4 linked regions of the Saccharomyces cerevisiae S288C genome follow. The gene in region 1 interacts genetically with each later gene. Each region holds a gene or a part of one and is shown on either strand. Other genes may lie near its edges. The genes, in order: INO2, ERG11, CHM7 and STT4.

The links.
Region 2: mutations in INO2 (region 1) and ERG11 together harm fitness more than expected from each alone (negative genetic interaction), as found in Saccharomyces cerevisiae (2 studies listed by BioGRID).
Region 3: mutations in INO2 (region 1) and CHM7 together harm fitness more than expected from each alone (negative genetic interaction), as found in Saccharomyces cerevisiae (2 studies listed by BioGRID).
Region 4: mutations in INO2 (region 1) and STT4 together harm fitness more than expected from each alone (negative genetic interaction), as found in Saccharomyces cerevisiae (3 studies listed by BioGRID, with this or other methods).

The regions. Positions count from the first base shown.
Region 1 is NC_001136.10:696,156-702,510, reverse strand, and holds INO2 (Ino2p), read left to right. Parts: upstream 1-3,042; coding exon 3,043-3,957; downstream 3,958-6,355. Other genes in the region: ECM18 (alpha/beta hydrolase family protein), read left to right, coding at 1-1,114; YDR124W (uncharacterized protein), read right to left, coding at 1,222-2,196; serine/threonine protein kinase KIN1, read right to left, coding at 4,617-6,355. UniProt on the Saccharomyces cerevisiae protein: Positive regulatory factor required for depression of the coregulated phospholipid biosynthetic enzymes. Also involved in the expression of ITR1.
Region 2 is NC_001140.6:118,250-124,970, reverse strand, and holds ERG11 (sterol 14-demethylase), read left to right. Parts: upstream 1-3,287; coding exon 3,288-4,880; downstream 4,881-6,721. Other genes in the region: TDA3 (Tda3p), read left to right, coding at 1-862; superoxide dismutase SOD2, read left to right, coding at 1,381-2,082; YHR007C-A (uncharacterized protein), read left to right, coding at 2,206-2,421; STP2 (Stp2p), read right to left, coding at 5,532-6,721. UniProt on the Saccharomyces cerevisiae protein: Sterol 14alpha-demethylase that plays a critical role in the third module of ergosterol biosynthesis pathway, being ergosterol the major sterol component in fungal membranes that participates in a variety of functions.
Region 3 is NC_001142.9:344,193-350,848, forward strand, and holds CHM7 (phosphatidic acid-binding protein CHM7), read left to right. Parts: upstream 1-1,780; coding exon 1,781-3,133; downstream 3,134-6,656. Other genes in the region: ATP-dependent RNA helicase MTR4, read left to right, coding at 1-1,551; UBX6 (Ubx6p), read right to left, coding at 3,255-4,445; YJL047C-A (uncharacterized protein), read right to left, coding at 4,852-4,986; cullin RTT101, read right to left, coding at 5,388-6,656.
Region 4 is NC_001144.5:735,755-746,670, reverse strand, and holds STT4 (1-phosphatidylinositol 4-kinase STT4), read left to right. Parts: upstream 1-2,807; coding exon 2,808-8,510; downstream 8,511-10,916. Other genes in the region: chitin deacetylase CDA1, read right to left, coding at 146-1,051; NEDD8-conjugating protein UBC12, read right to left, coding at 1,820-2,383, 2,518-2,520; aconitate hydratase ACO1, read left to right, coding at 9,123-10,916. UniProt on the Saccharomyces cerevisiae protein: Acts on phosphatidylinositol (PI) in the first committed step in the production of the second messenger inositol 1,4,5,-trisphosphate. STT4 functions in PKC1 protein kinase pathway.

The sequences.
Region 1 (6,355 bases):
TATGCGGCTGGAGGAATTACAGAGACGTATTATGGAAGAGGTACACGTTGAAGGTATTAAAAAGAATGATAAGTTATTCAACGAAATAAATCAATGGCATTTCCAAAATGAAAACACAAGTACTGTTCGAACACCAACATTGCTGATACATGGCTATGCCGCATCTTCAATGTCTTTTTTCAGAAATTATCCAGGTCTGTCCAAGCACATCCGAAATTTATACTCAATTGACATGCCAGCGAGCGGATTGTCTTCAGTACCGTCTTTAGAGATCAATACAACAACACCTCTGCCGTTAGATATCAAATTTATTGGAGAAAATAAATTTAAGGTTCCATATACAATAAATGCAAATCACAATAAATTTGTGATTCAAATGTACGAAGATTTCTATCTCGACAGAATCGAGCAATGGCGCATTGATAACAAATTGGGCAAAATGAATGTTGTGGGGCATTCTTTTGGCGGATATTTATCTTTTAAATATGCTGTTAAATATCCAAACTCGGTAAACAAACTTTGCTTGGTATCCCCACTAGGAGTGGAAAGGAATATCTGGTCTGTAAATAATAATTTCCACTCCAACACTCTTTATACTATCGATTTTAAAAATCCAAATTCCAAGTTTTACTCCAAAAGAAATATGATTCCAAAATACTTATTTGAACAACAATTTCACATTTTGAGAATGATGGGACCATTAGGAGCTAAGTTATGTTGGAATTACATAATGGCGGCATATAGCCGAGTCCCATCGTTGGCATACAAAGAGTACATATTTGAACTGTTTTACGGTAAGGGAGGTATACCGGAGGTTACGACAGATATTTTCAAAGCGTTATTTTCAAGATGTATCCTAGCAAAGGACCCCTTGATGGATTCTCTGCAATATTTAAATGTTAAGAAATTATTGATAGTATATGGGCAATATGATTGGATGAATAAAAAAGCCGGTATGTTCATGGTCAAAGAGTTGAACAATTTAAAGAACTGTCTAGAAGGAGCAAGTTATTTAGAAATACCTTCTTCCGGTCACAATCTTTTTTTAGATAACCCAGAATCATTCAACCAATCTATAGTGTCCTTCTTATCAGACGAAACTAAATCGCCTTGATAGCAACCAAATCAAGTAGCAAAGAGCCAAAAAATGTGTTAATGTATGCTATCCCCCTTTTTGCTTTTGCGCTCCTCACACCTCTTTTCTTTGCTTTGAAATTTTTCTCAAATAAAATCTTTACAATCATCGCTACTAGTTAATTCATCCAATTTAGTGAGGAATAACGGATCAAATTCCACTAAATTTTCTAATCGAGATATGCTATTCGAATAATCCTCCGATACAGGGTCTTTCGGATATTCCCTGGGGAAATACTCTGTGTCACTTTCTTTTGAAGGAAGGATCATCGAGGGTGAAGAATCGCTTCCACTTGACTGTTGTAACAAATCTTTTTCTACCTTAACCATTTTATTTACATCAAATCGACGACTATGGTATGATTTTTTCTGTTTTTGGGCTAGGTCATTTAAATCATCAAGTGATATGGTCTTCTGCTTGAAATCTTTGTTGCACAAGCATTTCGCAATTTCGAAAACATTTTTCATGATTACTTTCTTCACAGTTTCTTTCTTAAAAATGGTCATTGCGGCGGTCACTCCTGTAAGCTCGTCCAAAATCTCAAGGCTGAAGGGAGATTGCGGTAGAACATTCATAATTATCGTGCACATCAATTTCAGTCGATCCGCTTTCTGGAGGTGGTCCGGCTCTTTATGTTCTACATCTTTTGGCCACCATTCCGGCCTTCCAGCATTGCCTTTAATGTATGGAAACCTGGTTTTCTTCCTTGGCTCAATAATTTTTATCCACAACTTAGCAATCGCCTTGCATGGGACCTGTCTTAATAATTTAAAAGCCGTATACAGATAATTCTGTATTAGTAGGGGTTGATCTAAGGGTAGCATGATCGCTGGTTGGATATTTTCTTCATAAACAGTTATTCTTTTCCTATTTACCAATGGATCGAACGTGAGTGGAGGGTTTTTTTCAATTGAAGATGATATAAAACTCTCTGAGAACAAGTTTTTTGGAATTGACTCACTTATTAAATGGTCTTTTTCCTTTATGAACACCATAAACTCATATCCTTGACCATTTAGCAGCGCCAGCGCCCTTCTAAGCTCTTCCATACCTATACGCATGTACTTAAGCTGACTCTATCGAAAAATGACGTACGCACAAATGCACATGTATACATACGCAATCCATCCTTTATATAAGCTGAGAAACAAGCAGAGGAACCTGCTTCAGTTGGGCCATCCCTTCGATGCTATATACTTCTAATCTTAAACTCTTCACTAAGACTTCGCAGGCACCGCTTCAAGGATGTCTCAGGTCGCGAGATTACTACAACAACTTAAAACAACCCTGATGCAACTGCAGCGTGCTGTTTTTCAACAGTACAAGAAAAAGTTCCATATTGTGCCATTGCCGATGCCATTGCAAAGGAATTTGTTCTCAGTCGCATCTCTCCTTTACTGCAGATCTGAGTTACTTTGAATCCTTGATAATATGGATCGAGTGCCTCTTCCATTATTTCTATTATTATAATCTCAACGCTTAATATGAATTAACCAACCACACTCAAACCAAATCTACGCCAGCTACAAATGGTAGGAGAATGAAGACACACCAGGACTCAAACAGGATTTCCCAACAATGTCTTTCAACATGCTGCTTGCCGGTCACTACTGCACTTCCTGCGCCTTTTCCGTTGAATCACCCTCCATAGTGCGGCAGATGGAACCAACCTAACCTTTTTTCAGCAGGAGGTAAAAAATTCGCCGGTTTTCTATCTCCCTCCGTCATCGGCAGGGCGTTGACACCTGTCCAAGTACAACACACATGTGAATTTTTTTCAGTGATTAAAGGCTCATCTCATCATATCTTATTGTAATCAGTATTTGGCGTCATAAGCAATTCGAAATTGGTTCGGTTCCATCTCGTTGACGTGCAATAAATAAATACATGGAACAGCAAAGGAGAAAATGCAACAAGCAACTGGGAACGAATTACTGGGTATCCTAGATCTGGATAACGATATAGACTTTGAAACTGCTTACCAAATGCTCAGCAGTAACTTCGACGACCAAATGTCTGCGCACATACATGAAAACACGTTTAGTGCAACTTCCCCTCCTCTGTTAACACACGAGCTCGGCATAATTCCTAACGTAGCAACCGTGCAACCCTCTCACGTAGAAACTATACCTGCCGATAACCAAACTCATCATGCTCCTTTGCATACTCATGCACACTATCTAAATCACAACCCTCATCAACCAAGCATGGGTTTTGATCAAGCGCTTGGTCTCAAGTTGTCTCCTTCCAGTTCGGGGTTGTTGAGCACGAATGAATCGAATGCCATTGAACAGTTTTTAGACAATCTAATATCACAGGATATGATGTCTTCCAACGCTTCCATGAACTCCGAATCACATCTACATATAAGATCACCAAAAAAGCAGCATAGGTATACCGAATTAAATCAAAGATATCCTGAAACACATCCACACAGTAACACAGGGGAGTTACCCACAAACACAGCAGATGTGCCAACTGAGTTCACCACGAGGGAAGGACCTCATCAGCCTATCGGCAATGACCACTACAACCCGCCACCGTTTTCAGTACCTGAGATACGAATCCCAGACTCTGATATTCCAGCCAATATCGAGGACGACCCTGTGAAGGTACGGAAATGGAAACACGTTCAAATGGAGAAGATACGAAGAATAAACACCAAAGAAGCCTTTGAAAGGCTCATTAAATCAGTAAGGACCCCACCGAAGGAAAACGGGAAAAGAATTCCCAAGCATATTCTTTTAACTTGTGTAATGAACGATATCAAGTCCATTAGAAGCGCAAATGAAGCACTACAGCACATACTGGATGATTCCTGAGCTCATACAAGCTATTAGTGATGAAAATGGCCTCCCGTTGGATGTATTTTTAGTTAATTTCGTATACATGGGCGAAAATATCATATGATTGCAAAGCTGGTCATGTAAATATATTCATTATAAACCAGACGGTAGAAAATCTCGTTTCTTTCCAGAGTGTAGCGTAGATTTTTGCGGACAAGAATTACCAGTATCTTCATTTTATTTAGAAGTTAAGAGAATCCGGAGGCAATGATGGTGAAGTAAAGAAATCTTTCAACGGCGAAGTATAATCTGTCTTCACAAACAGAATAACTGCGTACAAACTCGCAGTTATATGACCGTTACGAGTTGTATTGATTCAGTGAAGTAATAGTCCTATTACATCCATATGAATCCTGTCCTGGTAAACGGTGCAATGATCGCTCTACGTATACAAATTCTCTCCATCAATCGATGATGAACTGCTTTACACATAAAGTACGTGCCATTTATTTATAAATAATACCAATTAAGGGACGAAAATATTAACTGCTGAGTGTCTGCTTAGGTCCATTCTATTTCTTCTTTCCAAAAGAGAATAAAAAGAATCTATATATATATATAAATTTCTATCGAACGGATATTCTTGTTTTCGAATATCAAAAATGTAAGCTGTGGTTTCTCAGGGAACGTGTTACTTACAACTTTAGTTCTTTTAATATACTAGAAGCCAGCTCTTTATACAACCAAGTGTTCCCAGAAATTTTCTTAAAATGCACACCGGCTAAACCAACAATACGAACCTTGACGATATGAATTTCGAATTTGATGGGCTCTTTTTCTGTTGTAGTCATGCCTTCGCTACCGTCACCTTGTTGGTGGATGTTCTCCAAAGATGTTCCCGAATGCTTATCATCTCCATAGGTTTCGGTAATAGATGTTTTTCTCTGGTGAATGGAATTAGTTGTCAAAGGAGAAGAAGGTGAGTATTTATTAGAGCCTTGACGTCTAATGGATTCGTGGTGCGAAAGTGGCATGATCGATCTTGGAGTCCCTTCTCTCTTCGCTGCCACATTATTGGAAGAGAACCTTTGCATACAAACAAAACCACCCTTAACCTCCTTGAACTCTATATTCATTTTCCTCAGAACAAACATAATCTTGTATCTAACAATTGGCAAAGGCTTCGATGAAGTTGTCTGAACAGAAAAGAAACCCTTCAAAAATAAAGAACGGGGGAAATCGATGGATGGCATAGAACCGGCTGGAGCTCTAGAAGCTTCCTGCAATATCTCTTCATCTGTTAATTCCTTCTCCACAGATGGCGAGTTTATGTGTGCGTTCACAGAATGCACGCTGACGCTATCATTCGTCTGTGAAGTAACATTTCCCAAACTATCGGATTTGTTATCGTCACTTGATTCTAAGAACCCAGTATCTATAAGCTCTTGCTGAGGATAGGCAGATGAAGGCATTGGGGGTCTCATATATTTGAGTGATTCACGACGAGCATGACCAACTGATTTAGCTCTTGCGCTTGGATGTAGTTTTCGACCTTTTGCAACATTGAGAGGTGGTAAGGGATGATTCTCGTCGTCGTCGCTTCCTTCAAACTTCTGTGCAGCGTAAGCTTCCCGCCCGCTTCCTTTTGCAACTTCATTATTCTGTTTATTAATATCATGCAATTTCATTATATCTTCTTCAATTTGCTTCTCCCTTTGCTTCTCTACCATATTTTCTGCATCCGCAGGCAATGCTGGAAAGTCACCTTTATTGCCACCTCTGCTATCGTTTGTCTTGACAGGCTCATTCATGGTATAATTTGAATCATAACTCGGTTTAGCAAAACCAGGGACAAAGTCTGAAACAGCGCGAGAATGCGTCTTTTGCACAGGTTTATTGATACTATTATTACTATTAACAGATGTCTGTTCAATGGTCTTTTTACGGCGCTGTGATAATTTTCTAAATATATTCCCAAACTTCGCCTTTTCTGAGGGATCGCCAGTAGTTGAAGGTACCCTAAATTGTTGATAGTCATTTCCCTGAGGAGTTGGAGAGAGAGCATATTCCATTTCACGGCGTTGATTATCAGAACTTTTTCTACTCGTTGGTGACGTATGCGCTTGTTCTGGCATTGCTAACCTCGGTGGAATTAAGACATGTAAGGGGGGCTCTGTGCCATCGCTATTCTTTGGAGTGAATGGCACAGAGGTATCTTTTGTCGCCAACGTGGCTTCTGGCTCTGATTTCATAGCGGTTGTATTGACCTCTACGTCCCTTTGCTTCACACTTTCCGGTATTTCAGAAAGCTTTTCTATATTTTCGTGGCTCTGTCGCTGTTGTTGATTCCGAATTTTCGCATGTTTCCTATCAAGCATCTCAGAAGTCAAGTAATATATGGAAATCATTGGATGATATGCCCGAGTTGGGTCTT
Region 2 (6,721 bases), on another chromosome or scaffold:
GGTTAATGATTGGTCATCACTAGGTGGTACTGATACCACAGCGCAGCTTCATCCCTATAAATTCACCCATTTCATCTTATCGAAGGCAATGGAAACAGGTGCTGTCGATCTTCTCCTAGGTAAGGTAGTTGGGCTAAAGTGTGACGAGATGGATTGTGTTCATTCTCTTAAGTACCTTCCATCTGTCGTCAAGAATCGCAGAAATAGCAGAGGGCATGCAGAAAATCCAGACATTAAGCTGGGTACAATCTTCAACGATGAGAACGCGAAGCCCATTGAAATCAATGACATCCAGCAGATTGTTTTGAGTATGGGACCCTGGACTTCCAAGATTCTAAAAGATTGTCCAATTTCTGGATTGAGAGCCCACTCTGTCACCATTAAGCCTAGTGAAAAGACAGTTTCACCTTACGCTATTCTTGCTGAACTAAAAGTTAACGACCGTGAATTTTTCTCCCCTGAAATGTATGCTAGAAAAGATGAAGTTTATGTGTGCGGCGAAGGCGACACTTTAGTCAATATACCTGAAAGTTCGGACGATGTGGAGGTAGTTTCGGAGAAGTGTGATGAATTGTACCATTACGTATCCAAATTATCGCCAACTCTATCAAAGGGCCATCTCTTGCGGAAACAAGCCTGTTTTTTGCCAGTTTTAAACGTTCCTACAAGTTCTGGTCCCTTAATTGGTGAGACAAATGTCAAGGATCTTTATATTGCAAGTGGACATTCTTGTTGGGGTATTAACAATGCGCCAGCAACAGGTAAATTAATGGCTGAGATTCTCCTTGATGGCGAAGCAACCTCTGCGGAAATCTCAAGTTTGGATCCAAAGTTATATTTCGACGCCACCATCCTTTCTTAATCAAGCCGAGGAGTAAAAAGGTCAAGAAAAGTATATGCACAAATTTGTACATATAAGAGCTTATTTATTTATATATTTAAAATTTCTGAGGCCATTTAATGTGTATATATTTAACGAATACCTAAATCTATATATTTCTTTTTTTTTTTTCTCTCTCTCTCTCTCTTTCTCTTTCTCTCTTGGCGTCTATCCTGTTTGCCCTTGCGCATGCTACCGATTGCACGTGTAGTATTCTACTTGAGGTTGAGCTGATTACTAATTGCTATTATCATTGTTGGCGCGACCTTAAACCTGGACCAATAACACAGGCCGAACCACTAGCTTCGCAAAAAAAAAAGTAGGGATGTGCCGAAAAATTTCCGCGACCGTAGCAGACACCCCTGATGAAGAAGCTATAACTTGTATATAAGAGCGTTGCATCCCCAAAATATACAAGCTAGCTACAGCGATTGCTTTTCACTTGCTGCTACAGGAACGAAACCCCAATTGATAACTATACCTCCTAAAAACGTACCAGGATGTTCGCGAAAACAGCAGCTGCTAATTTAACCAAGAAGGGTGGTTTGTCATTGCTCTCCACCACAGCAAGGAGAACCAAAGTCACCTTGCCAGACTTGAAGTGGGACTTCGGTGCATTGGAACCTTATATCTCCGGTCAAATCAACGAATTGCATTACACCAAGCACCATCAAACTTATGTGAACGGATTCAACACTGCTGTTGACCAATTCCAAGAACTCTCAGATCTTCTGGCCAAGGAGCCCTCTCCCGCAAACGCAAGAAAAATGATTGCTATCCAACAAAACATCAAGTTCCATGGCGGTGGTTTCACAAACCACTGTCTATTCTGGGAAAACCTGGCTCCAGAGTCGCAGGGCGGTGGTGAACCACCCACCGGCGCTTTGGCAAAGGCAATCGACGAGCAGTTTGGCAGTCTGGACGAGCTGATTAAGTTGACCAACACAAAGCTAGCAGGCGTGCAGGGCTCCGGATGGGCCTTCATTGTGAAAAACCTCTCTAATGGAGGCAAGCTGGACGTTGTTCAAACCTACAACCAGGATACCGTCACAGGCCCACTAGTTCCTCTAGTTGCCATTGACGCCTGGGAACACGCCTACTACTTGCAGTACCAAAACAAGAAAGCCGACTACTTCAAAGCCATTTGGAATGTGGTCAACTGGAAAGAAGCATCCAGAAGATTCGATGCTGGCAAGATCTGAAGAAAGAAAGAAAGAAAATACCTTTTTTTTTCCACTGTGTCGTTTTTATTCTAACTACTCTACTAAATCACACAACCACACTCCCCTATTTAATAATATATTTTACTATTAAAATACATATACATGCATCGTAAAAAAAGAAAAAAAGAAAAGAAAAGAACCGAAAAAGACAATACAACCAACCTTCCTCCACTTTTTCTTTTTCCTTGTTCTCTCTCGCTTCCTACGTTACTCGCGCCTGTGCACTACATTCCCACCAGATTAACTCACCACCAGGCAGAGAACCAATTGTTCTTGTTATTGTTCCAACCGATAATTGTAAAGCCATTAAGGTCGTAAACGACTGCTTACTCAGGGAGATCTCCGAAAACGGCAATTGCTGTGCACCGTGCGACGTTATGATCGCCGCCTGTCCCGTACAGACGAACAATTGCAACAATGGGCGGTTGTTTAGAGAGGTTTTGTGCCGCGCCCGGGAATTACCGGGGGCACAGCAAAATACGAAATTTCCGGCAAAATGTCTCTGTACGAAAATGAGGCCAGCCTTTATTCCCGACTAAGCCGTACGATTATAGTAATGTCACACGAAGTGGATACTATACGAGCAGCGCACATACAATGTGCGTGCAAGATTTGCCGGGTTGGACAATCTTAAAGGCCGATAATCCACGAAAAACGAGACAAACGAAGCGCTGGCCCTAAACGAAACGAAACGAAACTAAGATTTCAAGATAATCGCTTTTCAGATGACAATAGTCTCTTGCAGAACACAATAAGTGTGGTAGGTATCTTGCAGGAGACATCGATTTTATGCCTGAATTTTTTTTTTTTCTTGGTATGAGCACATCCTATTGTGCATCTCCACGAGTTAACGACGTTTACGTACTCGCATGTATTCGAAAAGCCTCTAAAAATTGCCCTCCATGTGTATTCATTATATAAGATAGCGTATTTTCCCTTAGTTTTCTTATTCCCTCTTAATTCTCTCTTTCAATGTCTTTTTTTTTTTCCCTTTTCCTTTTTCCCTTTTCGTTATTGGTAAATTATTTATAAAAAGATTGATAAGCAGTATCGTTCAGCGTGTGTATTTTCGATAGGAAGTAATAATTTTTCATTATATTAATTAATAGTTTCCAGAAAAAATTTTTTTTCCTTCACAATTGCAGCAGGCTTGAATAGAAACAGAACAAACGAGTAATACAAGGATGTCTGCTACCAAGTCAATCGTTGGAGAGGCATTGGAATACGTAAACATTGGTTTAAGTCATTTCTTGGCTTTACCATTGGCCCAAAGAATCTCTTTGATCATAATAATTCCTTTCATTTACAATATTGTATGGCAATTACTATATTCTTTGAGAAAGGACCGTCCACCTCTAGTGTTTTACTGGATTCCATGGGTCGGTAGTGCTGTTGTGTACGGTATGAAGCCATACGAGTTTTTCGAAGAATGTCAAAAGAAATACGGTGATATTTTTTCATTCGTTTTGTTAGGAAGAGTCATGACTGTGTATTTAGGACCAAAGGGTCACGAATTTGTCTTCAACGCTAAGTTGGCAGATGTTTCAGCAGAAGCTGCTTACGCTCATTTGACTACTCCAGTTTTCGGTAAAGGTGTTATTTACGATTGTCCAAATTCTAGATTGATGGAGCAAAAGAAGTTTGTTAAGGGTGCTCTAACCAAAGAAGCCTTCAAGAGCTACGTTCCATTGATTGCTGAAGAAGTGTACAAGTACTTCAGAGACTCCAAAAACTTCCGTTTGAATGAAAGAACTACTGGTACTATTGACGTGATGGTTACTCAACCTGAAATGACTATTTTCACCGCTTCAAGATCATTATTGGGTAAGGAAATGAGAGCAAAATTGGATACCGATTTTGCTTACTTGTACAGTGATTTGGATAAGGGTTTCACTCCAATCAACTTCGTCTTCCCTAACTTACCATTGGAACACTATAGAAAGAGAGATCACGCTCAAAAGGCTATCTCCGGTACTTACATGTCTTTGATTAAGGAAAGAAGAAAGAACAACGACATTCAAGACAGAGATTTGATCGATTCCTTGATGAAGAACTCTACCTACAAGGATGGTGTGAAGATGACTGATCAAGAAATCGCTAACTTGTTAATTGGTGTCTTAATGGGTGGTCAACATACTTCTGCTGCCACTTCTGCTTGGATTTTGTTGCACTTGGCTGAAAGACCAGATGTCCAACAAGAATTGTACGAAGAACAAATGCGTGTTTTGGATGGTGGTAAGAAGGAATTGACCTACGATTTATTACAAGAAATGCCATTGTTGAACCAAACTATTAAGGAAACTCTAAGAATGCACCATCCATTGCACTCTTTGTTCCGTAAGGTTATGAAAGATATGCACGTTCCAAACACTTCTTATGTCATCCCAGCAGGTTATCACGTTTTGGTTTCTCCAGGTTACACTCATTTAAGAGACGAATACTTCCCTAATGCTCACCAATTCAACATTCACCGTTGGAACAAAGATTCTGCCTCCTCTTATTCCGTCGGTGAAGAAGTCGATTACGGTTTCGGTGCCATTTCTAAGGGTGTCAGCTCTCCATACTTACCTTTCGGTGGTGGTAGACACAGATGTATCGGTGAACACTTTGCTTACTGTCAGCTAGGTGTTCTAATGTCCATTTTTATCAGAACATTAAAATGGCATTACCCAGAGGGTAAGACCGTTCCACCTCCTGACTTTACATCTATGGTTACTCTTCCAACCGGTCCAGCCAAGATCATCTGGGAAAAGAGAAATCCAGAACAAAAGATCTAAGGTTTGTAACTGAGAAAAAAAAAAAAAACAGAAAAAGAGAGAAGTTGTACATTCACGTGGGCCTTATCGCCACACTCATCCATCTCCAATGATTTATTTTATTTGCCAGTACGTTTGATATGACATCGAGTTATGTTCTTTAGTTACTTTCAAACTTGGACAACCATCCCGCATTATTTATGAGTGGTATGGTTTCACTTCTTTATTTATAAATATTTATACTACGAAATTATATATAGATTACATTTCTAAAACAACATCAAATATAAGGTTTATTTATGCAACATGCCTACTGGATTAGAAGAGAGAACACACAGCTCACAGGCCAAGCGGAAATAAAGCAGTCTTTTCGCAAACTTGTAAATCTTTTTGCAATTTAAATTAATCAAGAGAGGGCCCAGGAGGAGAGGAGTTTTGGGGAGGGGTCACTGAGGAAGCTCTCTTAAATATGGATTCACTGAAATAAATGTATATAAGATTCATTACTGCTTTTTATAGTGATAAATCCAAATGATGAGTGAATTGAACCATCCTTAGTATCCATTGTTTTATAAAGCACCGCTAAAAATAATATATTGCTACAAAAATGATATAATAATAATATTACGTAAAATACCTGAAACCGCCATAAAAATAATACCTGAATTAACCTTAAAATTCTATCCCATAAGCTTTTTTGTAAAGGGCCAGATAATCTTGAGTCTCCTTCAAATGATTCTCACCCAGAAGTTCAAAGTCCATTTGCTTCTGTAACATCTCATTAATGGAAATCATATTGCTTTCCTTTGACTGATTGATTGCGTCCTCCTCGGTTTTGTCTGGCTCCAACAACGATTGCTCTGAATCCAATGGGTATGACTTATTTGTTTCTGTAGTTGTTATTGGATCGCCTGAAAGTGGAGATAGCGCTGAGGAGGCAGAGGATAATGCTGGAGAATCCATATGCAATGTGTATCTTGATGATTGATACTCTTGTGGTACAGAAGATGCATTTTGGGGTGACAAAATTGGGGGAGATATTATTGACCACTCTTTGAGATTTTGGACTTCTGTAGGTCCTCTTGATTGTGTAGTTTGTGTAGGTCTTGATATTTGTTTGCGTTCAAACCATTGAGTGCCTATTCCAAAATCGTTTTTTTCGGTTTTGGTTGGTATGATCTTGTCATTAGGGCGTTCCTTGGACTGCATTACTGTCGCTTCTATACAATTCTTATTTTGTAAAGCTGGTTCGGAAACACTTTCGTCGGATGAGATGAACCTTGTTTGGCCATCCGAAGTCTTTATCATTTTCATTTTAGACGTCTTTTTCTTCTCTCGTATTCCCTCTGAATAGCCTTCTGGTAAACCTTTGCAACTCCCAGCCTCAATGTGGTTTTCCACCCAGCTCTCACTAGTGCTAAAGTGTTCCCCACATTGAGTGCACACTCCAGGTGATTTATTACGGTCCTGAGGCTTAACACCTTCTGGGTAAGTGAAATGTCTAGATTTCAAATGTGTTTTGTAGGTATCTCTTCTGCTAAACCCCCCAGAAGTATGGCATCGCAATTCTTGCGAAATGCTATTATCAAAAAATGGACAGTGATAGGCCTTCCTTTTCGCATGCTTTTTTATGTGTCGTGTTAAGTAACCTCTGATTCGGAACCTAGCATCGCAATAGTGACATATATATGGTAAAGTTTCGGATGACTCATCAGCAATTCCTTGAACCTCATCGGATAGGGGAGATTCATCAATACTTTTCTTCGATGCAGGAGTGATTACGCTACTTACGGGCGTGATTGGAAGGAAATTAGAGGGGAAAAGAGCTTTGTACTGGTCATTATTGATATAGGATTCCTCTA
Region 3 (6,656 bases), on another chromosome or scaffold:
ATGATTGATGAAAAAATGGAACCTCAAGTTGCTAAAGGAATGGTTAAGGGCCAAGCAGATAGGCTAGACTCGGCTTTTCACTTAGGATATAATATGATTTTGAACTTAATGAGAGTTGAAGGTATCTCTCCGGAGTTTATGTTGGAGCATTCTTTCTTCCAATTTCAAAACGTTATTTCAGTACCAGTTATGGAAAAGAAACTTGCTGAACTGAAAAAAGACTTTGATGGCATCGAAGTCGAAGATGAAGAAAATGTTAAAGAATACCATGAGATTGAGCAGGCTATCAAAGGTTACCGTGAAGATGTTCGTCAAGTTGTCACCCATCCGGCAAACGCCTTAAGTTTCCTACAACCAGGCAGATTAGTTGAAATCTCTGTCAATGGTAAGGATAACTATGGCTGGGGTGCTGTTGTCGATTTTGCTAAAAGAATTAACAAACGCAACCCAAGTGCTGTCTATACAGACCATGAATCCTATATTGTCAATGTGGTCGTCAATACCATGTATATAGACTCTCCAGTCAACTTGTTGAAACCTTTCAACCCTACCTTACCAGAAGGGATTCGCCCAGCGGAAGAAGGTGAAAAAAGCATATGTGCTGTTATTCCCATAACTTTGGATTCAATCAAGTCGATTGGTAATTTGAGACTATATATGCCCAAAGATATTAGAGCCAGCGGTCAAAAAGAAACTGTTGGGAAGTCTTTAAGGGAGGTTAATCGGAGGTTCCCGGATGGTATTCCCGTGCTGGATCCTGTTAAAAACATGAAGATCGAAGATGAGGACTTTTTAAAGCTAATGAAGAAGATTGACGTTTTAAACACAAAGTTATCCTCCAATCCCTTAACCAATTCCATGAGACTAGAAGAACTATATGGTAAATATAGTAGAAAACACGATTTACATGAAGATATGAAACAATTGAAACGCAAAATTTCAGAATCACAAGCCGTAATCCAACTGGACGATCTTCGTCGCCGTAAAAGAGTTTTGCGCCGTTTAGGATTTTGTACTCCTAATGACATTATTGAACTGAAAGGTAGAGTTGCATGTGAAATATCTAGTGGTGATGAACTGTTACTAACAGAATTGATCTTCAATGGTAATTTCAATGAGTTGAAACCGGAACAAGCAGCAGCATTATTATCATGCTTTGCATTCCAAGAACGCTGTAAAGAAGCGCCTAGATTGAAACCAGAGCTTGCCGAACCTTTGAAGGCTATGAGAGAAATTGCAGCAAAGATCGCTAAGATAATGAAGGATTCTAAAATTGAAGTTGTAGAAAAGGACTACGTTGAAAGCTTCAGACATGAACTAATGGAAGTTGTTTACGAATGGTGTAGAGGAGCTACTTTTACGCAAATCTGTAAAATGACCGACGTTTACGAAGGTTCGTTGATCAGAATGTTCAAGAGATTAGAGGAATTGGTGAAGGAGCTGGTAGACGTCGCCAATACCATTGGTAACTCTTCACTTAAGGAGAAGATGGAAGCTGTCTTGAAATTAATTCATAGAGATATCGTATCTGCTGGTTCTTTGTATTTATAGTTAATCACACACAATTATGTATTTTTATTGGTATATATAATAAACAAATAGATTTCATCAACATTTATTATATAATAACATTTTTGTTTGGGCAAGCACACTATTGATACACCCATACAACTCAATGAAGTGCAGCGTTAGTAGAGACAATAAGAGGAGTTTTAAATTCTTAAACTATATCTGGCAAAACACCACCAAAGCCAGCCAAATAGTATCTCACTGTATCTGAATGAAAGTAGATTTACCAGAATCCAGACTACCATCTTTATATAGAGATTTTAGGCCATTGAAAGATTTAAATCCCGATGGGTACGAAGCAAACATCAGTACATGGAGGGATTTCTTCTTGCAACAATACATCAGCAACTCCAACAGAATCATATTTACTATAGGGACAAGGACTTTGCAAGAATTAACTCATGAAGTTTATGGCGTACCGAAAAGCATTGATATAGCAATTGACGTTCTTGTTAATGAAGGAAATTTGATACCTATGGAATTATTCAATCTTGGTGGAATGTACACTGACAACAGTAGAAAAGGATTTTGGAAGTGGGTTAGAAGTTGGAAGGAGTCTACAAACATGTATAAAAGCCGGAAGGATGAAACAAATTTCTACTTGAGAGAAGACAAATTTATTATCAAAGCAAATTTGGAAAAAGAGTATCAAAGGTTTCATGAATTACTCAAAAGAAGTGTTTTTATGGAGGCTTCATCTATTACAGATTTAGTATTCACAAGGAATGAATTTGTGACCACAGAAAGTTTGCAGTCGTTCTTTTCAACCTATGATGAAGAAACGAAAAACGTGTTCCTGCACTTTATAGAGAATTATAAGCACATAATAGTTTCAAAAGACAATGTTATCAAAGTCATTGCCGCTGAAGTAGAAGACATTACTAGCAGGTTCTCCAAAGGCATCACAGAAAATGACCTTCGAATTGCTAGTGTTAAAGTGGGTATTATAAACATCAACAAACAAATTACAAGGCTAAGAAAAGAAATTAATGAATCTAACATTAAACTGAGAGGACCAGAGTTTAATGAGCTGCCGAAGAGAATAAGGATTGAATATAAACAGGCGAGATTACTATCTGAAAAACATCTTTCTAGGTTACTAAAGTTTCAAAATAACCTCGCTCAAGTAAGAACTCAAATAGACACCAGTGCTACTAATGCGGTTTTAATTCAAACTTTAAGTGAATCCAACGAAGTAATTAAGTCAATTAATGGATATATTGGTTCTACCGAAAAAGTAGAAGACTTACTAGATGAGATTAAAGAGGGTCATGACCGTACCGAAGAGGTCAATGATTTATTAGCTCATTATAATAAAGGTCAAGACGAAGAAGCAGAAGAAGAAATTGAAAGAGAATTAGAACAATTAGAACTTGATGAAAAGAATAATAATAAGGAAGAAAATAAGAACCAGGATTTGCACGAGCCAAAAGAAAGCAGTAGCGAGGATCTATTAAAGAGATTGAATAATCTGAAGATAAATACAAATGAAGGACCTGTGCAAGATAATGAAAACCACGATAATGAGATAAGAAAAATCATGATGGAAGAACAACCACGTTGACGAACTGAGTGACTAATAAATAAATATATATGTATAAATAAAAAATAAATATGAATATTTTAATAGACGGAAGAAAGAAAATATGTGTGAATAACCAAATAGGAAATAAACAAAAGCACATTTAATTGTTGCCGTTATTATTAGAGTAACCTAATGTACGAACTTTGGTATTAGATGCAGAATTATTGGAAGACAAGTTTAGTTCAGACACGTTTTGTCGCAATTGAGAAGTACCATTAGAAGGATACATCCTTGGGGTAGTATATGCTGAAGGAGTCATTGAATCACCACCACCTCCTCCTCCCCCGTCCGACACCATGTCTAAGCTAGATAATTTTTGTAAAGAGTAGTTGGCGCTGTTTGACACATTTGTGCCCAACCTCTGGTAACCAAGACGGGAGGAGGAAGCATCTACTTCCGGTTCTTTCGCCCAAAAAGATGTCAAACCTGAGTAAACCTTGTGTAGAAGAGAAGATTGTTCCATGTAGTCGAATGTTTTGTTATTGGCTTCCAGCGGTTCTAAGATGAGAGTCGATCTGGGCAACAGATCCAACTCTTGCAAACTTTTGAGTTCGTCATTTCGCGTAAGAGTCACTCTTGGTATATTTCTGTGGAAAAGGTAAGGTGTTCCATCATCGTAGCAATTATAGTCTAACCACATCCTTACTTTGTGTAATTTTGTTTGAGGAGGGAAAGTATTAGAGATTGTGTAACCATTGGGCAGTTTCAATTGTAGAGTACAGTAGTTCTGGGCGAGAAACCCCTTTTGACTCTTGTAACTAACATTATCAGTAACTGTCAACTGCTTCCACTTCTGTGGCTTTCTTTGCGGGTCATTAGTATTTTGAAAAACATACTTCCTCTCCAACTTGTCGTTCTGAATCATTCTTTTGACTCTTTGATATTCTTCATTGCTCTTGGAAAATAACTTCCTCTTTGTTACTTGACCCTTAAAGACTGATTGTAACCCATTGATAAAGGTTTCCCAAGGATCCTGCTCACGAGAAAGGCTATTACCTTGGATAGAACATTCGAGTAGACCGTTCTGTAATATGTTAATGCTTGGCGCCGATGAGGAGGGGAAAATGCTCTTGAAAAGCAAGCACTCTTTAGTACCATTTACTAACCTTACCCACAGTATGTTTTCGCGCTCCTCGTCACTAAGATTTCCTGGTTTGAACCACTGATGAAGCCAAGAATTGTCCCCGGCTGCTGAACTAATGTAAACGACGATAACCTGCTCACTAGTATGAGAGTAATCATGAACAACTCGATCATGAAAGAGGCTGTCTATACCTGACATCTCGTACATTTCTGTTATTCAATACCTGTAATTCACTTCCTTTGAGGGTCAAAAATGTCCCCTGTAAGCAAGTGTATAAGTATATAATTATATATATGTGCATATATATGTCCCTATACAACTACTAACGAATCTTAAAAGTTGACTATTCATGTGGAAAAAGTCCCTCTTCTAGGGTTGACGCGCTAGAGGTAAATCCATTAAGGTTCCTCCTGGCTTCGTTAACTCCGAAAAGAATAGCATGTGCAAGATGAGTTACCGAAAGAAGCAATAAAGAAAGCACGAGTACATGTAGAACAGGGGCACAGATAATACCAGACAGATGAGCCCACTTTTAAGAGTTTCAAAACTTCCACGAATGCACAGGGAGAATAAAGTACGCGCTGGGTCCGTTACGATTCGTGCTGCAAGAGGTTTAAAATCGCTCCACAATGGTCTCGCCCCTCGGCCCTTCTCCAATTACAAGCATATTACTAATACAGTTTTCGTTTCTTTTGTAATGTTCAGATAGGAGCGAAAGACTAATTTCGATGGAAATTTTTATCTTCATTTCGATAGTATGTTCAATCAGTTGAACTATGCATCTTTGGTTATCATCATTAACAAATTGAAACGAAAAGCTATCCTGCCAAGAAGGCCGGATAGAGAGATTGAAAAAGATATATAAAGTGTCCTTGTCACACTCATACAACACCTGTTGTATGTCAGGCATACGGCAAATTGACTACAGTTTGCATTTGCACTAATGTCGTTTGCAGTGTAACTGTTGTATTGAACGTGGACAAGGACAAGAAAGATAGTTTTTATCTCTTGATGTTTTTTTATATGGAGGAGAAAGCGACGAAGTCGAAAAAAACGAAAGGAAATAAAATGCTGTCGGAAAAAAAGTTAGGGCTGGTACGGATTATAAACTATCTCAGTAGTTAGGTAATATATAAGATGGCACCAGTCTTAGTACTTGTAAGTTGCTGTTGATTCGTCCCTAGTTATGAATTTGTCTCGTAACAACTTGGCCAAGGCGTCTTTGAACTCACCAACACTAAAGCCTTTTATCTGCTGCTTTACCGTTTCAAATAAATGGTCGTAGTCTAGCCCATTCCTCTCGCTCTTAACGGATCTAGTTATGCATGCCTTTAGTAATTCTTGGGTCCATTGGGAATTACTTCCTTCGTGGTGTGCAGAACTGGTTCTTTCACCGCCTGTGTTGCTACTTTGGAGAGACGCGGTTCTCGGTAGAACCACACGTAGTTTCCCATTTTTCACTTTTTTCATATCAGGTTTGAAGCTCTCGTTGATACTGTATGTGTTGTCAATATCTCTTGTCAGAATTTTATAATTGCAGAAGGATTTTAAGACTAGCGCTAAGTCTTTGTACGCCAGTTTCGTTTGCTCTGATATAACTTGCAAGGTCAAATGATCGCTTTCGTTGAATAAAGTCAGCACACATGTTTGGAAAAGGGTCAATTCAAATATTAGGTTAGTTCCATCCTGTATGATATAAGGCGACTCCACTTCGCAGTGGTGCAAGTTCCACATCGGATATAGCTCTTTTTTGGAAGCATCTGAATCTTCCACTTTATTCTGCTCGTGATAATTACGGAGAAATTGGTTCCACGTATCATCCATCTCTTGAGGTAGGACAAAATTTTTCTTTACTTCGTTGGATTGCTGAAAAACTTTGGGAATTCTTTCTCTATCAAAGATAAGTGGGAAAAATGACTTGCTGTTGTTTTCATTGTATGTCTTCCCGAACTTCACAGCAGCCTCGATATTCTCATAAAACGACAAGAACGATGCATATTTGATTCTCAGATCTGCCATAACCTCTACCGGCTGAAAGAATTGCGATAAATAGGGTTGATATTGATCTCGGTATCGCATTTCATCCTCTTGTGAGACATTTGTTATGATTCTTTGTTTGAAAAGTTCCATGAGGCTGTCTTTGTAAACAGGTAATATATCCTTAATAAATGAGGAATTTTGATCACTTTGTAAGATCGTCTTTCTGAAAATTGATCTTTCGAAAAAATTAGGAAATGTGGGAAGGTTAACGAACTTCAGTCTCAATATAGGAAGATTTTCGTTGAGATACTTTATTTTCATATCTCTGGGTAGGTCTTTTTTAGTTGTTTTTATCTTTCTGACGATGATGAATAAATGTGACTCAAAATATTTGACATACTGTTCTATGGCTTTGCTGGTACTTCCAAGTAAATTACA
Region 4 (10,916 bases), on another chromosome or scaffold:
TGATTTTTATATATGTCCTCTATTCTAATACATACTTTTTTACTTTTGAAATAACAAAATATTCTTTTTATTTTTGCGAGTTGAATAATTAAATAAGAGATCAAAGATATATAGAGAGAAACTTTATTTCTCGGAAATCTTACTTCTAGTCGTAGCGTTCGATGTAGTCTGTATCACCAATACATTCTGCAATTGTCAATTGGTCACTACCAATAAGTTCGTTGATTTTAATAGCAACCTCAACTGTTCTTCGTGCACCATCGTGCTCTAAGATCAAACCTTTCCGTTTTCCCTTCCAAGTATTTATGTCCATAAGTATTTCTTCCTCTGTTCTGAAATCATCATTAGTGATTAATTTCCAATCAAAAGTATCGAGATCCCACAAGACAACCGTTAGGCCAAACTGTTTTACTATAGCTCTAACCCTATTATCAATTGCACCGTATGGAGGCCTAAAATACTTGGGGAAATGTTTGCCTGTGGCATTCATAGCCCAAATTGACCATTCAATTTGGGCTACAATTTCTTCGTTTGATAAACTTGGCAAGAATTCATGTGACCACGTGTGTGTACCAATCAAATGACCCCTCTCTAAAATATGCTCATATATATCAGGATAATTAACAGTGTTTATCCCCAGAACAAAAAAAGTGGTTCTTTGTCTCAATTTCTTGAGCAATGCCTCTGTCGCCGGGGCCGGACCGTCGTCAAATGTTTGGGAAAGTTTGAAACACGAAGTTACATCATCAACATCGATGCAGTTATAGCAGTCAAATGAGCACTGCTCTCTAGAAATTTTGGGACACTGGCCAGGATAGTACCTATCTAATTCTGGCACTTCAGTAAGATTTATGTAATCTAGCGGAATATAAGGTGGGTCAATTCCAGGCCATTGTGTAAGATTAGTAAATTCTGTTAACCACTCTGGAAAGGGCGTTTGCATATCTACTTCCCCCATCAATGCGGTACTCCCATTTGACGCAAGGCAATTTCCCTGTTTTAGAAAAAATGCTGCGAACAGCACAGATTGTATTGTATTGAAAATTTTCATCTCTTTTCTTGTGTAAAAGTAAATCTATCACTTAATTTTGTTTCTCTATATTCCACTTTGCTTACTTCTAAGCATCTACTTTGTTAGAACTATTGGTCTTTTTGAAAACACAAAAGTAAATCAACCCACTTGTTGGTATTTTTCTCTTTTAATTGCGATTGAATGACGGCCGGTCCGGAAAATGTGACATCTGGAAAAGAGAAATGTTGAAGCTGCTTCCAAGTGCATGAGACAGAATTTTTTTTACAGAAAATAGAAAGCGTTATCTTGTTAAATATTACTAACTAGTATAGTCATTCATTTTTTTCTTCCATAGTTGTAATATCTTTATTTTTTGTAAGAATTAGCGATAGCTGAGATTGCGTTCTTCAACTTCCTGCTCTCTCTTAGTCTTCTATCCAGGGTATCTCACCTTCCTGATTATCTTGTCAATAGCCATGGCTTCGCTGTTTCTTTATTATAAGAAGTATTTTTTGTTTTCTTCAAGAAATTTTTCGTATTAATATCTTTATGTTTTGTTTGCCTTTACTGGCCAGAAATTTTATACTTATTTTGAATAGAACACATTAAGTTCTACAGGTACCTGCAAAATATCGAGACAAAAGTTTGAACGAGAATATAAGGAATGTTGGTCATAAGGCGTAAACTAACAGAAGATGGCGGTAGCAAGATGTTACCAAGGCGACAACTCGCCTAGTATGTCACAATTATCTATAATTTTATTGTTTATATATAATCAAATCAACCGAAAATTACTCTGAACTTGACTCAAGGAGAAACTATGTTATCATATTTGACATGTTCAATTGAACCTCCAGACATGGTCAATCTCACAGCTTCAGCAAATTCTTTCTCACCCTCACACAGTAACTTTGCTGCATCCTTGTTTAACGGGTCATTGGGATTAGGCTCCAAGAACAAGAAAAGAAGCCCGGTTATAATACTCTGCAAATCTAGAGCTGGCGACCAGTCTTCTCGAAGAATATTTAGGCAAACGTTCCCCTTTAAATCGATATTTGGATGAAAGATCTTCTTCAAACATACAACTTTTGGTGGTTCAATCGGATAAACTTCGTTAAAATCCAAATTGAAATTAATAGATCCATAATTATAATATCCTTCATCAGGCCTAACAATTACCTCCAATTTCGGCGATTGTGATCTATCCGCACTATCTGGTGATGTTATTACATTCAAAGTCACTGTTGGTGGGAGGTCCAGCGAATCAAGGTCCCTTTTCAAACGAATTCTTGCTGCCGATAAATTAGGCTGAATAGAACTGCTGTTTTCATTTTCTTTTTGCTTTTTCTTTTGTAATTGGCGTAATTTCAACTATTTGAATAAAGCCAAGAATATACATATCCAGTACACATATACATTCTCACCCCCCAAAAAGATTATGTTAGTATTTTCGATCGCTAAAAACCGCCAATGAGAAACGGAAAGATATAGTTGCATCTACGTACCATTTTTATTATCTTGTTTTATATTCTCTAACTGATTCTTTAATGTCTCTAAGTACATTTATGAATGATTGGCCTTTTTCATCTCATTTTACCTTTTGGCTGATATCATCAAACGGCACGCGCAGGGATGAAGGTACGTTAATAGTATTTTTTTTTTTCAAGAATACTGCGAAGATGTTTGAGTTGTGGGAAAAAACATATTCAACATTAATAACTATTGTAAATCAAGAAAAAAATTAGATCACAAAAAGATAACTACAGCAATCGAAAACGCCACTCGTTTAAGGCAGATGAGATTTACCAGAGGATTGAAAGCCTCTTCATCTTTAAGAGCGAAAGCTATTGGAAGACTAACTAAACTTTCGACGGGTGCACCAAATGATCAAAACAGTAATGGTACAACATTAGATTTGATAACTCATACATTGCCTATTTTTTATTCCACAAATACGTCAAAGATATATACTATACCACTTACATTGAGTGAATGGGAAGTACTAACTTCGCTTTGTGTTGCAATCCCTACCACGCTCGATCTGGTAGAGACAATGCTTAAAGAAATAATTGCGCCTTATTTTCTGGAAACTCCAAGACAAAGAATTTCAGATGTTCTGTCCTCGAAATTCAAGTTGGAACAGATGAGAAATCCGATTGAATTGCTAACTTTCCAGCTGACTAAGTTTATGATTCAAGCTTGTGAACAGTATCCCGTTCTTTATGAAAATATAGGCGGCATCATTTCAACTTATTTTGAGCGTGTATTAAAGATTTTTACTATTAAACAATCTGGTCTACTATCATTAGTGGGCTTTATTAATGCATTTATCCAGTTTCCCAACTCTACAGAGCTTACTAAATTCACCTGGAAAAAGTTAGCGAAACTTGTGCTTCGTGGATCATTTCTAAACGAAGTTGATAAGATTTTGAATTCCTCAGCAACGTTTACCAATGATTCAATCGTCCAGTATTACGATGCTGGAAATGAGCTATCCAGTGCCTACTTATTGGAATTAATATCTCGCTTGCAAGTTTCGCTAATATCTCATCTGTTAAACACTTCACATGTCGGCGCCAACTTGAGTGAGTTCTTACTAAATCAACAATACCAATTTTACAAATTTGATCAAGAAGTAGCCGATGAAAACGATGATACGAAGTGTATTGATGACTTTTTTTTCAACGTAAGAAGCAATAAACAGTTTTTTACAGACATGTGTAAAATTTCCCTGCAATTTTGTTCTGAGTCACATATTCTCGACCTATCTACAGACAACCGTGCAAGATTTTCTTTTGATACTCGAGCCCACTACCTACAAACGCTATGTTTAATTCCGTTTATAGAAGATACAGAAAGCGAGCTTTTTGAAAGTTTTACAAACGTTGTTTCTGAATCTATTGATAAATTTTTCTTATCTGATGTCGTTACACCATCTTTGATAAAAGCAATTGTAGCTTCTGCCTCATTACTGAATTTTTTCACGGAAAAATTGTCATTAACTCTGATTCGTATGTTTCCTTTATTGGTAGCGTCTCCACATATCACGACTGAAACAGTTAATGATGTTGCAAAAATATTCACCACAGGGTTATACCCTCTAAATGAAGATGCAATTGTGAGTACAATTTATTCCATGAACAACTTATTAGCTGTTTCCGAGGACGGATCGCCCGTCCCGGTGCTCCGTGAGCGCCAATTAACAATAACATCTGGAAAAAATATTGAGAAAGACTACTTTCCCTTGCGAAATTCATCTGCCAGTTTGGATGGCACTGGTGCTCTGCTCGGAAATACAACTGTGGGCCAACTTTCCTCCCATGATGTCAATAGTGGAGCTACTATGACATACCATGCCTCTTTGATATCTAATTGTGTGGCTGCAACGACTACAATCGCCTCATACTATAACACCCAAAGCATAACAGCTTTGACTATCTCTATTCTTACGCAAAAAGTTAATTCTATGTCAAAGGAATTAGACGGTGTTATTTTGAATTCTTTGGCAAGACTGGCTCCGAATACTTCACTGACAGAATTTTCGCTTTTACTAAAGTTCTTCAAATCGAGAACTGTTATTGCAACAAAAATTGATGATAGCGCACTATTGAAAAATATTATTAAAGCGAAATGTGTGATATCAAAAGAATTGTTGGCCAGGCATTTTTCAAGTGACTTATATTTCATGTATCTTCATGATCTATTGGACTCAATCATTGCCAGTGGGGAAGTAGAACGATTGGAACATCACAGACCTCAAACGGAGATTTCCCGTGTTGCTGATCAAATCGCTACCTACTTAGAGCCCCTCGCCGCTCTACTACCTGTTCCAGGCGATACGCCATTGGACATCAATAAGGATGAAGTCACTACAAACAAGTTTAGGAACGCCTGGTTTAATTTTGTCATCCATGGGTACCACTTGGGCGGGCCTATTGTCAAACGAAATTTTTCTTTCTTATTAACTATTGCCTATAATTCACCACCGCTGGCTTCTGAATTTCCTGCTAATAACAAGGAGCTTTCATTGGAAATGAATACAATTTTGCGCCGCGGTTCATCTAACGAAAATATCAAACAACAAAAACAGCAGATAACCGAATATTTCAATACCAATATTGTTCAGTACAGAACAACTTCATCGTCTAAAATCATGTTTTTAGCGGCTGCCGTTCTTCTAGAAACGATAAGATGCGAGGCAGGTGATTGTTCGAAGACTCTACTGTACTTCTCAGACCCCTCCATTCTTTCCGGTTCAATTGAGAAGTGTATTGCAGTTTTGTCGGTTTCCATGATTAGAAAATATGCTAGGTTGATTCAAAAGGGTAACGATGCCATATTCAACTCCAAAATGATTGCTCAACAACTTAATAACTTGCTACTTTGCCTTTCTCATAGGGAACCAACTTTGCAGGATGCCGCTTTTCATGCCTGTGAAATATTTATCAGATCTATTCCATCATCGTTATGTCATCATTTGTCTCTCTACACCTTATTAGATATGTTAACAGCCCTATTTGATAGTATCTTGGACTCAGAGGCGCATAAATTTGAACCACGGTATGAATTTAAATTAAAACATTCTAAGACAACAATATTGGTTCCAAGCTCATCGTCCTGGCGCGCTACGACACTATCAAGATTGCACAAGTCAGCTAAAGAATGGGTAAGAATTCTATTGAATAGAAGCAACCAGGATACTAAGATTTTGTTGCAATCATACATATCAGATCTCGGTGAGTACAGCAGGCTAAATTCTGTTGAATTTGGTGTCTCATTTGCCATGGATATGGCTGGTTTGATTTTACCTGCAGATAAGGAATTATCAAGGCTTACTTATTATGGTCCAGAGAAACCTAACACGATTTCTGGATTTATATCTTTACATTCTTGGAGGTCAAAATATCTTTTCGATACCGCTATTACATCATCACCAGAGGATATCAAAAGGCAAATAGGTATTTCCACTCAAAACATAAGAAAAAATTTGACCTTAGGAAATAAGATTATAACTAAAGACGTAACTGATTTTCTTGATATGGCTACCGCGTTGTTAATTCTTGGCAATGGTGCACCAGCGTCATTGATATATGATATTGTGCACATCCCGTTCGAAGTCTTCACCTCTGCATCTTTAAAGATTGCTACAAACGTATGGTTAACAATCATAACTGAGAAGCCCGAAGTTGCACATTTGCTTTTAGTTGAAGTATGCTATTGCTGGATGCGCTCCATTGATGACAATATTGGTCTCTATTCTCGCGATCATGACTTAAAGGGCGAAGAATACCAAAAAATGGAATATTCCCCTTACGACAAAGCAGGTATCAACAGAGATGCAAAAAATGCATCCCAAGCTATGCAACCACATCTTCATGTTATTAAATTTTTTGCTTCCCATTTCGAGGGCACACTATTTCAAAGTGACTTTTTATTGAAAATTTTCACGAAATGTGCGCTTTATGGTATCAAGAATCTGTATAAGGCTTCACTACACCCGTTCGCTAGAATGATTCGCCACGAATTATTGTTATTCGCGACTCTCGTACTAAACGCAAGTTATAAGCAGGGATCCAAGTATATGGGCCGTTTGTCGCAAGAAATCACAAACGGTGCCCTAAGTTGGTTTAAAAGACCAGTAGCGTGGCCATTCGGCTCAAATGAGCTGAAAATCAAAGCAGATTTATCTGTTACTAGGGACCTTTTCCTTCAGCTCAACAAATTAAGCTCGCTAATGTCACGTCATTGCGGGAAAGATTACAAGATCCTGAACTATTTCTTGGCAAGCGAAATCCAGCAGATTCAAACCTGGCTTACTCCGACTGAGAAGATTGAAGGAGCCGACAGCAACGAGCTTACAAGCGATATCGTTGAAGCTACCTTTGCTAAAGATCCAACATTAGCAATAAATCTCTTACAACGATGTTATAGCAAGAAAGCTGAGGATGTTTTAGTGGGCTTAGTTGCAAAACATGCTTTAATGTGTGTGGGGTCCCCAAGTGCTCTTGACCTGTTCATAAAAGGAAGCCACCTGAGCAGTAAGAAAGACCTACACGCAACCTTATACTGGGCGCCAGTGAGCCCGTTAAAATCTATCAACCTTTTCCTTCCCGAATGGCAAGGTAATTCTTTTATCTTACAATTCAGCATATATTCGTTGGAATCACAAGATGTGAACTTGGCATTCTTCTATGTTCCTCAAATCGTACAATGTTTGAGATACGATAAAACCGGATATGTCGAAAGATTGATTTTGGATACTGCGAAAATTAGTGTGTTATTTTCTCATCAAATAATCTGGAATATGCTTGCAAACTGCTACAAGGATGATGAAGGTATACAAGAAGATGAAATCAAACCAACTCTAGATCGTATTAGGGAGCGTATGGTTTCAAGTTTCAGCCAATCTCATCGCGATTTTTACGAACGTGAATTTGAATTCTTCGACGAAGTAACTGGCATATCTGGTAAGTTGAAACCATACATAAAAAAAAGTAAGGCTGAAAAGAAACATAAGATCGATGAAGAAATGAGCAAAATTGAGGTGAAACCTGATGTTTATTTACCTTCTAATCCTGACGGTGTAGTTATTGATATTGATCGGAAGAGTGGTAAGCCACTTCAATCTCACGCAAAGGCGCCTTTTATGGCGACCTTTAAAATAAAGAAAGACGTAAAAGATCCTTTGACAGGTAAAAACAAGGAAGTTGAAAAATGGCAAGCTGCTATCTTCAAAGTCGGTGATGACTGTAGGCAAGATGTTCTAGCGTTACAATTGATCTCGCTATTTAGAACCATTTGGTCTAGTATTGGCTTGGATGTCTACGTTTTTCCCTACAGAGTTACTGCGACGGCACCGGGTTGTGGTGTCATCGATGTGCTACCCAATTCGGTATCCCGTGATATGTTAGGACGTGAAGCTGTTAATGGATTATATGAATATTTCACTAGTAAATTTGGTAATGAATCTACTATCGAATTTCAAAACGCACGAAACAACTTTGTTAAATCCTTAGCGGGATATAGCGTAATTTCGTATTTGTTGCAATTCAAGGATAGACATAATGGTAACATTATGTACGATGATCAAGGACATTGTCTACATATCGATTTTGGGTTTATTTTTGATATTGTCCCAGGTGGTATCAAGTTTGAAGCAGTACCATTCAAGCTGACGAAAGAAATGGTTAAAGTGATGGGAGGTTCGCCCCAGACCCCAGCGTATCTGGACTTTGAAGAACTTTGTATCAAGGCATATCTAGCCGCCCGTCCGCACGTGGAGGCCATAATTGAGTGTGTAAATCCTATGTTAGGAAGCGGTCTCCCCTGCTTTAAGGGTCACAAGACAATTAGGAATCTAAGAGCAAGATTTCAACCTCAAAAAACCGATCACGAAGCTGCACTATATATGAAGGCGCTAATCCGTAAAAGTTATGAAAGTATATTCACTAAAGGTTATGATGAATTCCAAAGGCTCACAAATGGCATTCCGTACTGATATACTTCGCACTTTACATATGCTTATATAAAAATACCAGTTTCCCATCGTCAATTACGCAGACGTAGCCTTCGTTTATTTTCTCTCTTTTTGTATATCATTGTATTAATCATAATCCATTGTATTTTACTTTGTCTTATCTGGCTTTAATGAATGACGCCGGTCACACGCGGGTGCCTGATTCTCGATTGTGCCAAGCCATTTGGGCACGGTGTCAAATTACCTAAAAAATGGCCGAGAGCCGCAAAAGGGAGGTCCGCGGGGCCGGGCAATACCCTTTGTTTTTCGAGCATTTCGGCGCCGAAATCGGCAAAGGTCCTGACCAATCAATAGAGAAATTAGTGCATACGAGAAAAATTTGAACCCTTCAGTTGTTCTCCGCAGGCGACTTTAACCATCAAACCTCCAATCGCTGCCGGTTTTCGGAAAGGCAAGCACAAAAAGGGAGGACAAGGAAAATCTTTTGTTATATATATAATCTTCCGGTTTTAGAGGTTAATTAGGAGGAGTATGTTGCTTAATTCCGTTGTCCCTTGTTCTGTTCACTCTTTCTTAGTTATTACATAGTAGAACGAAGGTAATAAATACTACCATTATTACTATAGATATACAATGCTGTCTGCACGTTCTGCCATCAAGAGACCCATTGTTCGTGGTCTTGCGACAGTCTCCAACTTGACTAGAGATTCAAAAGTCAACCAAAACTTATTAGAAGATCATTCTTTTATTAACTACAAGCAGAATGTGGAAACGCTGGATATCGTAAGAAAAAGATTAAACAGGCCATTTACCTACGCGGAAAAGATTTTGTACGGTCACTTGGATGACCCTCATGGTCAAGATATTCAGAGAGGTGTTTCATACCTAAAATTAAGACCAGATCGTGTTGCCTGTCAAGATGCTACTGCTCAAATGGCTATTTTACAATTTATGTCCGCTGGTTTACCACAGGTTGCTAAGCCAGTCACTGTCCACTGTGACCATTTGATTCAAGCACAAGTTGGTGGTGAAAAAGATTTGAAGAGAGCTATAGATCTAAACAAGGAAGTTTATGATTTCTTGGCCTCTGCCACTGCGAAATATAACATGGGTTTCTGGAAGCCAGGTTCCGGTATCATTCACCAAATTGTTCTGGAAAACTACGCTTTCCCAGGTGCTTTGATCATTGGTACTGACTCCCATACACCAAATGCTGGTGGTTTAGGTCAATTGGCTATTGGTGTTGGTGGTGCTGATGCCGTTGATGTTATGGCAGGTCGTCCATGGGAATTGAAGGCTCCAAAGATCTTAGGTGTTAAGTTGACTGGTAAGATGAACGGTTGGACTTCTCCAAAGGATATTATTTTGAAATTGGCTGGTATCACAACTGTCAAAGGTGGTACTGGTAAAATTGTTGAATATTTCGGTGATGGTGTTGACACCTTCTCCGCTACTGGTATGGGTACCATTTGTAATATGGGTGCTGAAATCGGTGCTACCACATCTGTTTTCCCATTCAACAAATCTATGATTGAATATTTGGAAGCAACTGGTCGTGGTAAGATCGCTGACTTTGCTAAATTATACCACAAGGACCTATTATCTGCTGATAAGGATGCTGAATACGATGAGGTCGTCGAAATTGACTTGAACACTCTGGAACCATACATCAATGGGCCATTTACCCCCGATTTGGCTACTCCAGTTTCTAAGATGAAGGAAGTTGCTGTTGCTAATAACTGGCCATTGGATGTCAGAGTCGGTTTGATCGGTTCTTGTACCAATTCCTCTTATGAAGATATGTCTCGTTCAGCATCCATTGTCAAGGATGCTGCTGCTCATGGTTTGAAATCCAAGACCATTTTCACTGTTACTCCAGGTTCTGAACAAATCAGAGCCACTATTGAACGTGATGGCCAATTAGAAACCTTCAAAGAATTTGGTGGTATCGTTTTGGCAAACGCCTGTGGCCCATGTATTGGTCAATGGGATCGTAGAGATATCAAGAAAGGTGACAAGAATACTATCGTTTCCTCTTACAACAGAAATTTCACTTCTAGAAATGATGGTAACCCACAAACTCATGCTTTTGTTGCATCTCCAGAATTAGTAACTGCGTTCGCCATTGCGGGTGATTTGAGATTCAACCCTCTAACAGACAAATTAAAGGACAAGGATGGTAATGAGTTCATGTTGAAACCACCACATGGTGATGGTTTGCCTCAAAGAGGTTATGATGCTGGTGAGAACACTTACCAAGCTCCACCTGCAGACCGTAGCACCGTTGAAGTTAAAGTTTCTCCAACTTCAGACCGTCTACAACTGTTGAAACCATTCAAACCTTGGGATGGTAAGGATGCTAAAGACATGCCAATCTTGATTAAGGCCGTCGGTAAGACAACTACTGATCATATTTCTATGGCTGGT